2 linked regions of the Schizosaccharomyces pombe genome follow. The gene in region 1 interacts genetically with each later gene. Each region holds a gene or a part of one and is shown in the gene's direction. Other genes may lie near its edges.

Region 1 (5,548 bases):
ATCGAATGAAGTACGAGTACTAACGGAATAGAACTAGTCAACGGTGAATGACTTTATCTTTCACGTTCCATACTTAACAGATTTTTTATTATATTCAGTAACTTGTGCTTGTACAATTTAAATCTTGAAGTAAAGGTATGATGCGTGAACAAACCATTTATTTGTGTTCTTTTCCCTCCAATCTTCCCAATGTTTTAACGCTAACGTTATGCAACGTGGAGCACGGTAACTCCAAAACGAAAGATATAAAAGGCTAATCATTCCTGATCTGCTTTTCCCTTGAGCAAGCATCATTTACCAACTTTTTTAAAGATGCGTCTTCATAAAACACTAGCATTGCTGTTATGCAACCTAGTTCTCCATACTCTAGTTAAAGGTGAAGTAGACGCCAAAGCAGTATCTATTACTACATAAAAGGAAAACTCTACCTTGTCAAACCATAATGGACTGCCTAAAGAAGCCAAAAAGCTCACTCTTAAGTGCAGTTGGTTCATTGTGGAGGAATCTAACGGTGCCAGAATACATGCTAATTTTTTTGCACAAAGCTTCGATAAAAGAGAAATTGCTTTGTCTTTTTTTGAAGCAAATGAATGGCAAAATATAATTGGCTGGAATGATCAAGTTGAGGAGATGATTGACTTTGTAAAATCAAGAGACACGGTGATCCAAAAATCTTTTTTTGAGGAATTTAATTCCCAAAACCGAGAGATGGGATCATTTGCATATTCTGGTAACTCGGAATCGGTATGGACGGGCGAAAATATTACAAGTATATGGAAAACTATTTTGATTAATGAAACGGGTTCTTACTGCGTAGCTGCGAGACCAATGACAATGGATGGAGCTGAATTTAATTTAGACCTTATGGGGTATTCGGTTTCAGAAGATCAAATTAATAATGACGAAATTGGCATTTGGAACTATATTTCTGTAGCTGAAATGGGAGGAGTACTATTATTTTTGAGCTATTGGATATGGACTTGTTTACATTTCAGCAAGATTATATTTCCTGCTCAAAAGGTAATCTGCCTTTATATTTTTCTTTTTGCGTTAAATCAGACTCTACAAGAATGCATTGAGGAGTATGTTTTTTCTTCCGAATGTATAAAATACAGACAATTTTATTCGGTGTATGAAATAATTGATTTTCTTCGGACAAATTTTTATCGATTATTTGTGATTTACTGTGCATTGGGTTTCGGCATAACTAGAACTGTTCCTAAATATCTTATGATAAAAGGAATTAGTATTGTCATTGCTTTATGTTCTGTATACTGGATTTCTTTATATAAAGACGTATATGTAGTATCAGAGATTTTTGACATGATCCAGTATGAGGTATCTCCTGCAATTTGGGTGTATTCTATTTGTCATTTATTGAAACAATGCACGTCTGTAACAACTTACGAAAATGCTTCAAAAGCCAGATTTTTTAGAAGAATGCTAAATGCATTTATCTTTATATTCTGTGCATCTCCAATGTTGCATTACCTGTCGAATATTATATTTGGAAACTTTGATTACAGACTGTCGGTGATCATTGGTGATCTTTTCACTTTTATGGAGAAAATTGCTTTTCCATGTTACATAATGTTTCCCACCCATAATGAAGCACTTGCCTACAATCGAAATGTAGCTGAAGAGGCTCAAGAGAAAATGATTTGACAAAAACCATGGTTTACTTGATTCACCTTTAAAGGGGTTACCGGGATTATTTTATTTATTATTTGTTTATCAATGGATTAATATCCAGTTATTTTAATCTCACTTTTTTACACAGAAATTGTGTAGTAAGTTCATTCTTATTTAATATACCACCTATTTATTTTTTACAAATGAATATTTTTTTACTGGAACGTTTTAAATACACATAACCTTTGAGTCGATGTGAAATAATGTTTTGTTCAAACTTAAAAGTTGCGAATCTGACATATAGACAAAAAAAAAATAAAAAGAAAAAACTGGTTACCTTCATAAACATATTTTGCTAATTTATTGAATTTAATTATTTTCAACTTGCTTTCCCATTTTCCCAACAATTTTTTTATCTATAATATATATTTTACAAAATTAATATAGTACATCGCATGGTTTTCTTTAAAACGACATAAACGTATAATAATAAACGGGGATTCAAAGTAATAAATCGAATCCAAATCAACTTTCAAATACATCCATTTCATCTACTTTACCCTTATATTCCCCTTCATATCCCCAACAAAAAACAGGAATTTGCGAAAGTAGTAAATGGTAAAAGTGAATAAATAGAATCAAGGTTAAAAGCTTACTTGTATGCATAAGAAGATAACTCCCTCCTCTTTACTTTTGCTTAAAAACAGATTCTGAGATTCGGGACTAGCATCGGTAATATAAGTTTTTCTTTCATACTGTTGAGTACTAGCATCAGAACCCTTAATGGTAGGAAGATCATCATCATGACTACGCCTTTGTTCAATCGAGTAAACATTTGCTGGTTCGTGCCAGTCACACTGAGAACAACAAAGTACCTATTATTAAAAATGTTAGCAAGCGATCGCTAACAAGTTGAAAAGTAAACACCTCCAACTATTCCATGGAAAGCATGTAACAATGAAGATCAATGAATGGCTATTAGCTTAACAAACTTGTAAACTCAAAACAGACTAACAACGTTTGTCAGGCACTAAGAGCAATAATGGAACAGACTTCATATCAAACGCTTTCTTGAATGTTCTTACCTTATTCGTATAAACCGGAAGAACAGGCACAATGAGAACCGTTACGGTTTTCAACTGACGACATACTCGGACTAAAAACAAAATGTTATGTTAACATTAATAAGACAAGTTTAAAAAAAAAAAGAAAGAGCCAATTGCTTTCGAAACTACTCAACTTGTTTATTTCTCGTACCAGTCTTCTTTGAACTAAAAAAAAAAAAAAAGCATTAGCAAAATGTGTTGTCAAACGGATAAAAAGAGAACAGGAAGAAGATTGCTGGAAACAATTTTAAAACAGCGAATAAAAAAAAAAGAAAAAATAATAATAATAATAAACAAAATACGAGTCGCTAATTTTTGAAACTAATCGCTTCCAACAACTGTTTCATTATAACTTCACCATTTTAATATTGTCCCCAAACAGCATGATTTAATTCTCTTTCACTAATTTCATACCACACAGGACACGTAAGTAAAACATCCTTATAATCGTCAGTGGATATCCACATATCTCGTAAATGTAATGGCATTGTTAAAAAAAATAAACACTCAAGTGAATAGAATTATGAAGAATTCGAGTCTAGTTCAAAATATTTGTTTTGACAGAGTCCCTCTATTTATACCAAGACTAAGCCTCACAGTGAAATATTGTCTAGCAGTAAAATTGCTGATTTATTTATTATATTGTTGGTACATTTACTCGGAAGTACCATCGGCTTCATCTAAATTCCGATCCTTTACATTTGGATGCGTCGTAGTATATCATAACAAATTTTTTCCTCGTTTCATTAGAACTCACTCCATTAACTCCATTAGAACGTTTTCTAAATTTCAAGTCATTATACTTTTCTCTATTGAGAAAGTCACTAGGTCAGAAAGCAAGAATCATTCTTACTCGAAAACCGATATTAGTGATCTGCACCAGGGCTATAATAATCCACCATCAAGATTCATATCACAATAACAATTCCATAGTATCTTGCTATATACGTGTAATGAGTATTCGATACTGGCTTGATTGCTATTTCTCCTTTGCTTGTAATCGTAAAATTGACTTGAAGATCTAAACCTTCTAATGCAATCATTGGAATTCTGCCTAACCTGATCAAATATGGCTTGATCACCGTTAAGTTAAAAGCAGAAGCTATGCCAATCAGTATGATTGTAACTTACAAAAAAATATAGCACAACGACATACAACATTATGGTACAATAAAGAAGACTTGATATATCAAGAACGAGGTTCAGTTTGTGCTCCGTTTATATTATTGTATTTCTATATATGACATTACTTGATGCAACCGCTTAAATATGTACTTTTGTGTAGTTATACTCGCAAGTACAGTAGCATTTTTAAAGTAGCGGTGATGTTGACGAATGGTTTGTTTCAAATCCATCCATTTCAATTTCAATTGTAAATTTCTCTTTTTCAATTATTAATCAAGTAAGTTGAAGTGTATCAGCACAATAAATTCTGACTATTACTACTCTTAAAATAAAACTCAAGCGAAACTAATTTTTAATAGCAAGTCATATTCTTAGTTTGATATGCTATCCGCTTTGGTTTTGCATTGTTATGACTTTGTATAACCTAATAAGGTGACGAAAAATCAGTTCGTTTATATTTTTGATGAGAAGAATTCACTATTATTACACAGAAAAACATTTACTTCTTATTAGATACCTTCAATATAATATATTTTTTAAATGTAATAGCGACGACACTACCCATAATTTACAATACATTGTATGGTAAACAACTGAGTAGTTGATACACCCGATTTTCATTGAGTCATACACTTTGCGCTTACTATCACTTTATTTGATTAAATGCATAATTTACAAGCCATTCCAATATTTCGCGCACTTTTCGGACATAGTAATAAAAGCCGAGGTAGTTTCGGCGACTTGCAACATGTTTTTTTATCGTCAGCTCGGAAATAGATTTCCTGACAGAGAAAGAAGGATATAAAAATAAACATGATGGGGCAATAAATAAATATTTCACCATTTTTTATATATCATTAAGAACAATGAAGAAATATATCTCTGAAGTAAAAAATAGTTTGGGAAAATATGTATGAAGATCCCGCAACACCATTTGATAATGAGAAACCAGACGAATAGATCATGAATCTTGTACAACTGGGGAAATTACATGAGAATGTATTAGATGCCGGTTGTGAACCAAATAGAAATGCTAGATATTTAGCCAGTCTTGGATATAAAGTCGTGGGTATTGATATTTCCGAAAGGGCTATTTCTAAAGCAATCGATAAAACATCTAGTGAAAAAAGTAATGTCAACTTTAATCAACGCGATTTTTCAAGATTAAATGAATTCAAGGGGCATTTCGACACTGTGATTGACATTGGTTGTTTTCATTCAATTCTAAATAGTGATCATGAGCCATACACAGCTTCGTTAAGTCATATATGTCACTCTGATAGCTCCGTTTTCCTAAGAGCGTTTAGCGAAACAAACAAATCACGTTATAGACGGTGGCAGGGCCATAAAAGGTATTCCCTCGCTTTAAAAAGAAACAATGTCAAAAAGCTTTCTTTATAAACTATTGGAAGATTGAAGACATTAAAGAAGAAAAGTCCTGCTTCATCTTCCCCTAACTAGAAAAATAAATGTTTACACATGGTTTGCCAAAATGCGTTGTAAATAGTTCATGTACATAAAATATATAAAGATGAATGGACATATACATCAATTTTAAGAACCCATTAACAAAAAAAAATTCAGACACTCAATTAGCTAGCTAACAACTGTTCTTTACGAAGAGTTGAAAGAAACTTACAACCAATGGAAACCTTAGAAATATCAAGGCTATGATGCACTAGCGA
Region 2 (6,902 bases), 4.5 Mb from region 1:
CCGGTGTAAAGTTGAAATGCAGGTTCTGTTGTAGACACCACGAGCTTCACCGGCACAGAGGGATGTATTACTTCAACAATATTTTTTAAAGAATACTTTCGTGTGTCCAAACAGAACTTGCTAGCTTCCCTGTCTACTATAAAGCAATTGTCAAACGAGATGTTTGGGTCAAGCTTGGTTGGTTTAGTTATGTCATTTTGCCATTCGACAATATCACCAGTCGGTAACGAGGTTTCCGAATTCACTTTTAAATAGACGTTAGTCGTGCTTTTAATTATTGTTCCGTCAATAGTTTTATTAGGAGAGGCTAAATTCCAGTAAGAATGATTTGTCAGATTTACGGCTGTTACATTGAGTTTCGAGTATTCTGGAATAACAGATTTGTATTCAATTTCCAAAGAGTTATTTTTGATTGTATATTTGACTAAGGTTTCCAGGTCAGAAGGAAAGCCGTTGTTACCATCTTTGTCAACTAAAATGAATTCCAGTGTATTGTAGTCCTCATACTGTCGAGCGATAGGCCCCAAGAAAAACTGCTTATCGAATCCATTATTTCCTCCATGTAAGGTGGTTTTATTGTTTTCGTTCTTACATAATGTGTACAAATGTCCATCCACTTCAAATTGTCCATTCGCTATTCGGTTGGCAAATCTGCCAATTGTCGCCCCAAAGAACGGATTCTCTTTAAGCTTATACCGTGAAAAATCATTAAATCCATTTACTAAATTCCTCCCTTTATATCTTACTGCTTGCACTAATGCTCCGTAATTGGCTATGGAAACCTCAAGATCTTGAAAGCAGATAGTATGGAGTCTATTCTTATAATCCATAATCCCAAGAGTGTTAAACAACTTCCATTTGTAGTTGTCAATTTGAAATCCAAAAGGATTTTCGATCGTCCATTTCCACAAGTCTCTACAAGCATCTGTAATACTCAATTCAGCCTTCCATTTTAATTCACTATTTGCTCGATTCGGGCTTGCTGTCAAGTTGAGAACATCACCTGTTCTTCTGCCCACCACTTCATACGGTAAATCTTTACCTACTTCCTTACAAAAGGCATGATAAATATCGAACACGGAGGAACCTTTTCCTGTTCCCAAGTTCCACTCTCTGTACATTCCTTCACTATTATTGATTTTGTTTAGGTAGTTTAAAGCGGCAATATGTCCCTTAGCTAAATCCACAACGTGTATGTAGTCTCGGATAGGAGTCCCATCATGGCTATCGTAATCATCACCAAATACTAACAACTTTTCTCGCCTACCGATGGCTACTTGGGCTAGAAACGGTAAAAGATTGTTGGGAATACCCAAAGGGTCTTCGCCAAGTAGGCCTGATGGGTGAGCTCCAATTGGGTTAAAATATCTAAGTATTGCGCCTCGCCAAGTATTGTCGCTAGTGTGCAAATCTTTAATGATATTTTCAATAGCGTACTTTGTTTTCCCGTATGGATTGGTTGGGTCATTAGGACACGACTCTGGGATTGGAATCATGTTGTCAAATCTAGTAGCATCGCCGTATACGGTGGCAGATGAGCTAAACACAACTGTCTTGACCCGGTGTTCACGCATTACATTTAGTAAAGTAATAGTACCGCAAATATTATTGTCGTAGTACTCCAGTGGTAATTTCATTGATTCCCCAACTGCTTTTAAAGCCGCAAAATGAATAACACCCTTGATTTTAAAGGTATCAAAAATTTGAGCCAAGCCTTCTTTATCGCGAAGGTCAAGCTTAAAAAATTTAATTGATTTTCTCACAATAAATTCGACTCTTGCTACAGCATCATAACACGAATTGCACAAATTATCTACAATTATTACTTTATATCCATGGTTGATTAGTTCAATGACTGTATGTGAACCAATGTAACCAGCGCCACCAGTTACAAGAATGTATTCGTCTTGAACCGCCATTTTATAAAGAACAAAAAGGAGCTTAAAAAAATACTCAAAAAATTTGTTTTCGAAATATGGGTTAAGGTTCTTTAGGGGCTTCTTATGTTAGCTTTAATATGCGATATGTGTGTGACTAGAGTATCTCCAAACGTAAGCATATATATACAATTTTAAAATGTAACGTGGCTTCTCCAGGCGTACAATCACATTACCCCAAGTTTCGTTAATTAAACTGTGACTTTCTGCATCGAATATTCTAGCCATATTCAAGCAACAAAAGCTCCCATCTTCTCCGCTTTATTATAAGCTATGATTACCGGATTTCGTAAAAAAGCGCATACCCAACAGTTCTCAACTTAGGTTGGTGCTCTATTGGTTCTTCTCAGTGGGGTACGGTTCGTTTAAATGATATTAAACTGCATGCTATTACATGGTTGAAACGTTAACTTACCCATCTTTTGCGGATTGAGAATTTGATGTGGGGGCACAGAAGAATAAAGACACAGATGTTCCATTAAAAGTATGAGAATTATTGTCATTCTTTTGGTGTATTTTGTAGTCGCAAGGTCTTTTATAAAAAATTACCAAGTATTTCGCAGAGAATTGTCCGGAGGTTGAAATAAGAAATTAAGAAACTTAATACAAACGGAATTCCAAAAATATTTTTGCAAAGCCTTTATTTATATTAAACAACTGATATTTTTTAATCAATGTCACAAAGTTATTTTTTATGAATACCGTTTTCCGAACCCTCCATGCAACACTTTTAACTTCACCGTATGTCTCAGGTAACGCAAAGTCTAAATGACATAAATCAGTAAACAAGAAGTAAATAAGGCAAAAAGGGTCAAACTTTTGACAATTTATATAATCGTAGTAGTATAACGTGGTTTGCTTGACTGATCAAACTAATTTTTAAGGCAAGAAGAAGTGTTTATCGATTTTCAGAGCAAATAAACAAAAAGATAAAAGCTGCATCTATATTTTTTCAAAAAGAAGTGAAAAAAGGAGAGAATACCTTTTCATTGATCATTTTCAAGTTTACTTTTTCTTTACCACATTTGTAATTTTTTCTGATTGGTCTCAAATTATGGCTACCGTTCCTACATATCACGACTTATCATTTTACTCCAACCCAAAAGAAAACAAAGCTAGGTATGCAAAGTTGCTAAACAGTTTTGAACAAAAATATCACTGCAAGCCAGATTTTTTTAGTCGCTCGCCTGGCAGAGTAAACATCATTGGCGAACATATTGACTACAACTACTTTTCAGTATTGCCAATGGCAATTGACGTTGATGTTATTGTTTCAGTTACCACAAGTGATGATGCCAAAGTTGAGTTGAATAACACGAATCCAGAATTCAAGGAGGAAATATTGGAATTACCGAGTGACGGGGCAGTGATTGAAATTAACAAAACCCACCACACCTGGGGAAACTACTTTCGATGCTCTATGATTGTTGCTCATAAATATATTTTAGAGAAATACCCAGAATTAGTCAGTGGGGGTAAGAAGCCTTTAAAAGGATTAAAGTTGATTTTTGATGGTAACGTTCCCACTGGTGGAGGACTATCATCTTCGGCGGCCTTCTGTGTGGCATCGATTTTAGCCATTTTGAAAGCCAATGGAATTAATACAATTACCAAAGAAGACCTCGTCAAGATTAGTGTTGTTTCCGAGCATTATGTAGGTGTCAACACGGGCGGTATGGATCAATGTGCTTCTATCTATGGAGAGCAAAACAAGGCGCTTTTGGTTCAATTTAAACCAAAGCTTATGGCAACACCGTTTAAGATGCCGGTACTCAAACCTCATGACATGGTATTTCTAATCTCTAACACACTTGTGGAAGCAAATAAGCAAGAAACCGCATTAACAAATTACAATCTACGAGTGGTGGAAATGGCAGTTGCTTCAGAATTTTTGGCAAAAAAATTTAACTTAGAATTGCCAAAGGAGTCAAATTTACACACTGGTACATTGAGAGGATTCATGGACGAATACTACGAGAAGCACCTAAAACAGCCGCATTGGGATGGAAGCGACATTGACATGGGCGTTCAACGCATGCAGGAAATGTTAAGGCTCACAGAAATAATGTTTTCTGAAGAGCAAAAAGTGGGTTTTAAGACTGAAGAGCTGGCTAAGGAATTAGGGTTGTCTGTGGAAGAGTTTACTAAAGTTTTTTTAACAAAAATTCCAGTAAAATATGAACGCATGAAAATCTATCAAAGGACCGTGCATGTGTACTCAGATGCGATGAGAGTACTGCAAGTGTTAAAATTGTTTCATCAGCATAAGGACAGCGATGATCCTCAAAAGTTTATGTTGGCATTTGGTAGACTATTAAATGACTCTCAACGATCGGAAGATATATATAATAATTCGTCGTCTCCCGAGTTAAGAGAGGTATGCAAAATATCGTTGGCTAACGGAGGTTATGGAGCCAGAACGACGGGTGCTGGATGGGGTGGATCTGCGGTACATCTCACTACACACGATAAACTAGCTAAACTGGTTGAAGCATTGACGGAACAATACTATAAAAAGCAGTTTCCTAAAATTACTCAAAGTGAATTAAATGCCGCTGTTGTCGTATCGAAACCGGCTGCTGGATCTTGTATAGTACAGTTAGCCGAATACTGATTAACAGACTTTTTTCAGTATAATTTAATCAAATCCCGAAATACTTATTGAATGCTAGTTTTAATTGAAAAAGCAAATAAATAAAGAATCACAGAAAGTTTTTTAAACAACGAAATATTAGAAATGTTTTTCTTTCGTTTCGCCAGTGATGTGAGTAGGAAGATCAACAAAAAATGGTTATAAATAAACGAGATTAGTGCAGTTGGTTAATTAAATTGAAACCTTCGCGATTGAATTGTACAAATTATATTAAATAGTTTAAAAGAAGACAGTGGTTCCCGCTGATAAACATCGATTCACTTTTTATTATTAGAATATCTTTCAACATAAATATATAGTTTGGGAAATCAACTTTTAAGAATCAGCAGGTGAACATTACAGAACAATGTGACTAGACTTTGTATGGAAAAGAATATTGTTGGCTTTTAGAACATTGGTTTTAGTATGAACTTTGGCTACACATTATTCTAAAATATATTTTAGAAGTGTTTGATTCCATATTCATTAGCAGGAGAAAACATGAAAATCCTATTGGAAATCAAATAGTATAATATATACGAATTTACTGAAGACTCTGCATAAAGTTTTGATTTGAGTTTGAAAGTTTATTATTTGTTTGATAATAATATTAAATTTAATGAGCTTATATCTGAAGCTACTCCAAAAGAAAAGAATCTTTATCATTTTATTAAGCCAATTATATGTTATGGTATTCTTTTTTTTGGGGGGAAGGGATTTATAAGCTTAATTCGTGATGCAAGTTTTTAAAAGAATTTTTTAGAAAATTATATGGCTAACAAAATTTGCGGAAAGATACTATACTTACCGGTATAGCTTCTTAAAAGAGATCATTTTCGTTTTTAGTCAATAAAAAGTTAAATATCAGTACCTGCCATAATTGTATATGGTAAAGCTATCAATTTTCATATGATGTTCAAGGAGCCTCAAAAAAGAATGAATAAAGTGATCAAAAGTTCTCTTTTTAATAGTAGACAATCTGATATAAATATCAAGCAAAATTAAATCACCTAATTTCGATTTAAGCAAATAGTCAAATATATAAATTTTCGTTAACTAAAGTTTTACATTAGCTTTAGGAAGGCTTATATGACTTCGTTCCGAAACCACTTTATACTCTCCATATTTTATTTACTTTTTCAGATAACTGGATATGAGAATACATACTTTTAATTTTCACTTTCGTTTTTTTAGAATGATAGAATTTATTACGTTCATTTTTTTGATACTATATATAAGGCAGATGAATAATATGTGCAGAAATTGTTTTTATTTGATCGCATAGGAACACGCAAAGCTTGCAATTCTAACTTACATGTCAATAAATCCTTAACATAAATAAGTGCAGTGATTTTAGAACAAATAATGCAAATTAAAATTCCCTTAATTTAAATACGAGGCAACCTGGAAGTACTTTAAAACTGTTTAAAAAGTTCCACATATTTTCAGTTTGGTAGCAATTTGTAAATATATCTTACTTTAGATTGCTTTTTTTTGGGAACTTGTAGCTCAATATGAACTTTTATAACATTCTATTGTAAAATGTGTTAATCGTGCTATACTTAACTTTTTTATCAACTTCCATCATAAATCTCATACCGGATACTTAACACTTGCTTAATTGTTAAAGACTTTTATTACAATCAAATATATTTGTTGTGTTTCTGTTAATTTTAAATTATAACAACGGTTTCACAAACATAAAAGCAATAAAATTGTAGCGCTTGCATATTTAATACTGAATAATTATAATGATGTGACAGTAAGTAATGATGAAGCGGCTCAGACATTTTGGGAATCACCTGTAATTAAGTACAGTAGTTAAAAGATGCGAATTCTTGTGTAAATTTTTTTTGTTTTCAATTATATTTCTTCAAATCACATGCATTCTACATCATCGTCAACCCATACTTACTTTTAGCTTAAAATTTATTTTTTTCATAAATAGCTATTGTCTATTCGATTGGGGTTAAGAAATCAAACATTAAAGCTTCGTTTGCATGTCAATTTATTAGACAAATTTACTTTTTCAGGTGAAGGAGATACCGACAAGTAGCGGTATAAATTGTTGAAAAGCTAAGTCTAATGTGTATGTCAATACGTAAACAGAGTTTTTGAAAGACTCTGAATAACTCGATTTTTTGCTGCCAGAATATAATTTGCAATTTAAGAATTTATTGAGCTAATGAATCAATCGATCTAACAATTTCCATATGCTGCATTTTTCAAGTTTTCAGACATAACTTTAAAAACGAGTCATTCATGATGTATCATTAAGAATTCATTTTGTGACGCAGTAAATGACATTCATAGTATTTGATTAGACTTGAAAC

The links.
Region 2: mutations in ftm6 (region 1) and gal1 together harm fitness more than expected from each alone (negative genetic interaction), as found in Schizosaccharomyces pombe (one large-scale study listed by BioGRID).

What each region holds. Positions count from the first base shown.
Region 1 is NC_003423.3:7,350-12,897, forward strand, and holds ftm6 (transmembrane helix domain-containing protein), read left to right. Parts: upstream 1-3,219; coding exon 3,220-3,660; 3' UTR 3,661-4,002; downstream 4,003-5,548. Other genes in the region: ftm5 (transmembrane helix domain-containing protein), read left to right, coding at 631-1,665; SPOM_SPBC1348.04 (methyltransferase), read left to right, coding at 4,827-5,264.
Region 2 is NC_003423.3:4,485,500-4,492,401, forward strand, and holds gal1 (galactokinase Gal1), read left to right. Parts: upstream 1-2,798; 5' UTR 2,799-2,991; coding exon 2,992-4,551; 3' UTR 4,552-4,772; downstream 4,773-6,902. Other genes in the region: UDP-glucose 4-epimerase/aldose 1-epimerase Gal10, read right to left, coding at 1-1,919. UniProt on the Schizosaccharomyces pombe protein: Galactokinase is a key enzyme in the galactose metabolism where it catalyzes the conversion of alpha-D-galactose to galactose 1-phosphate.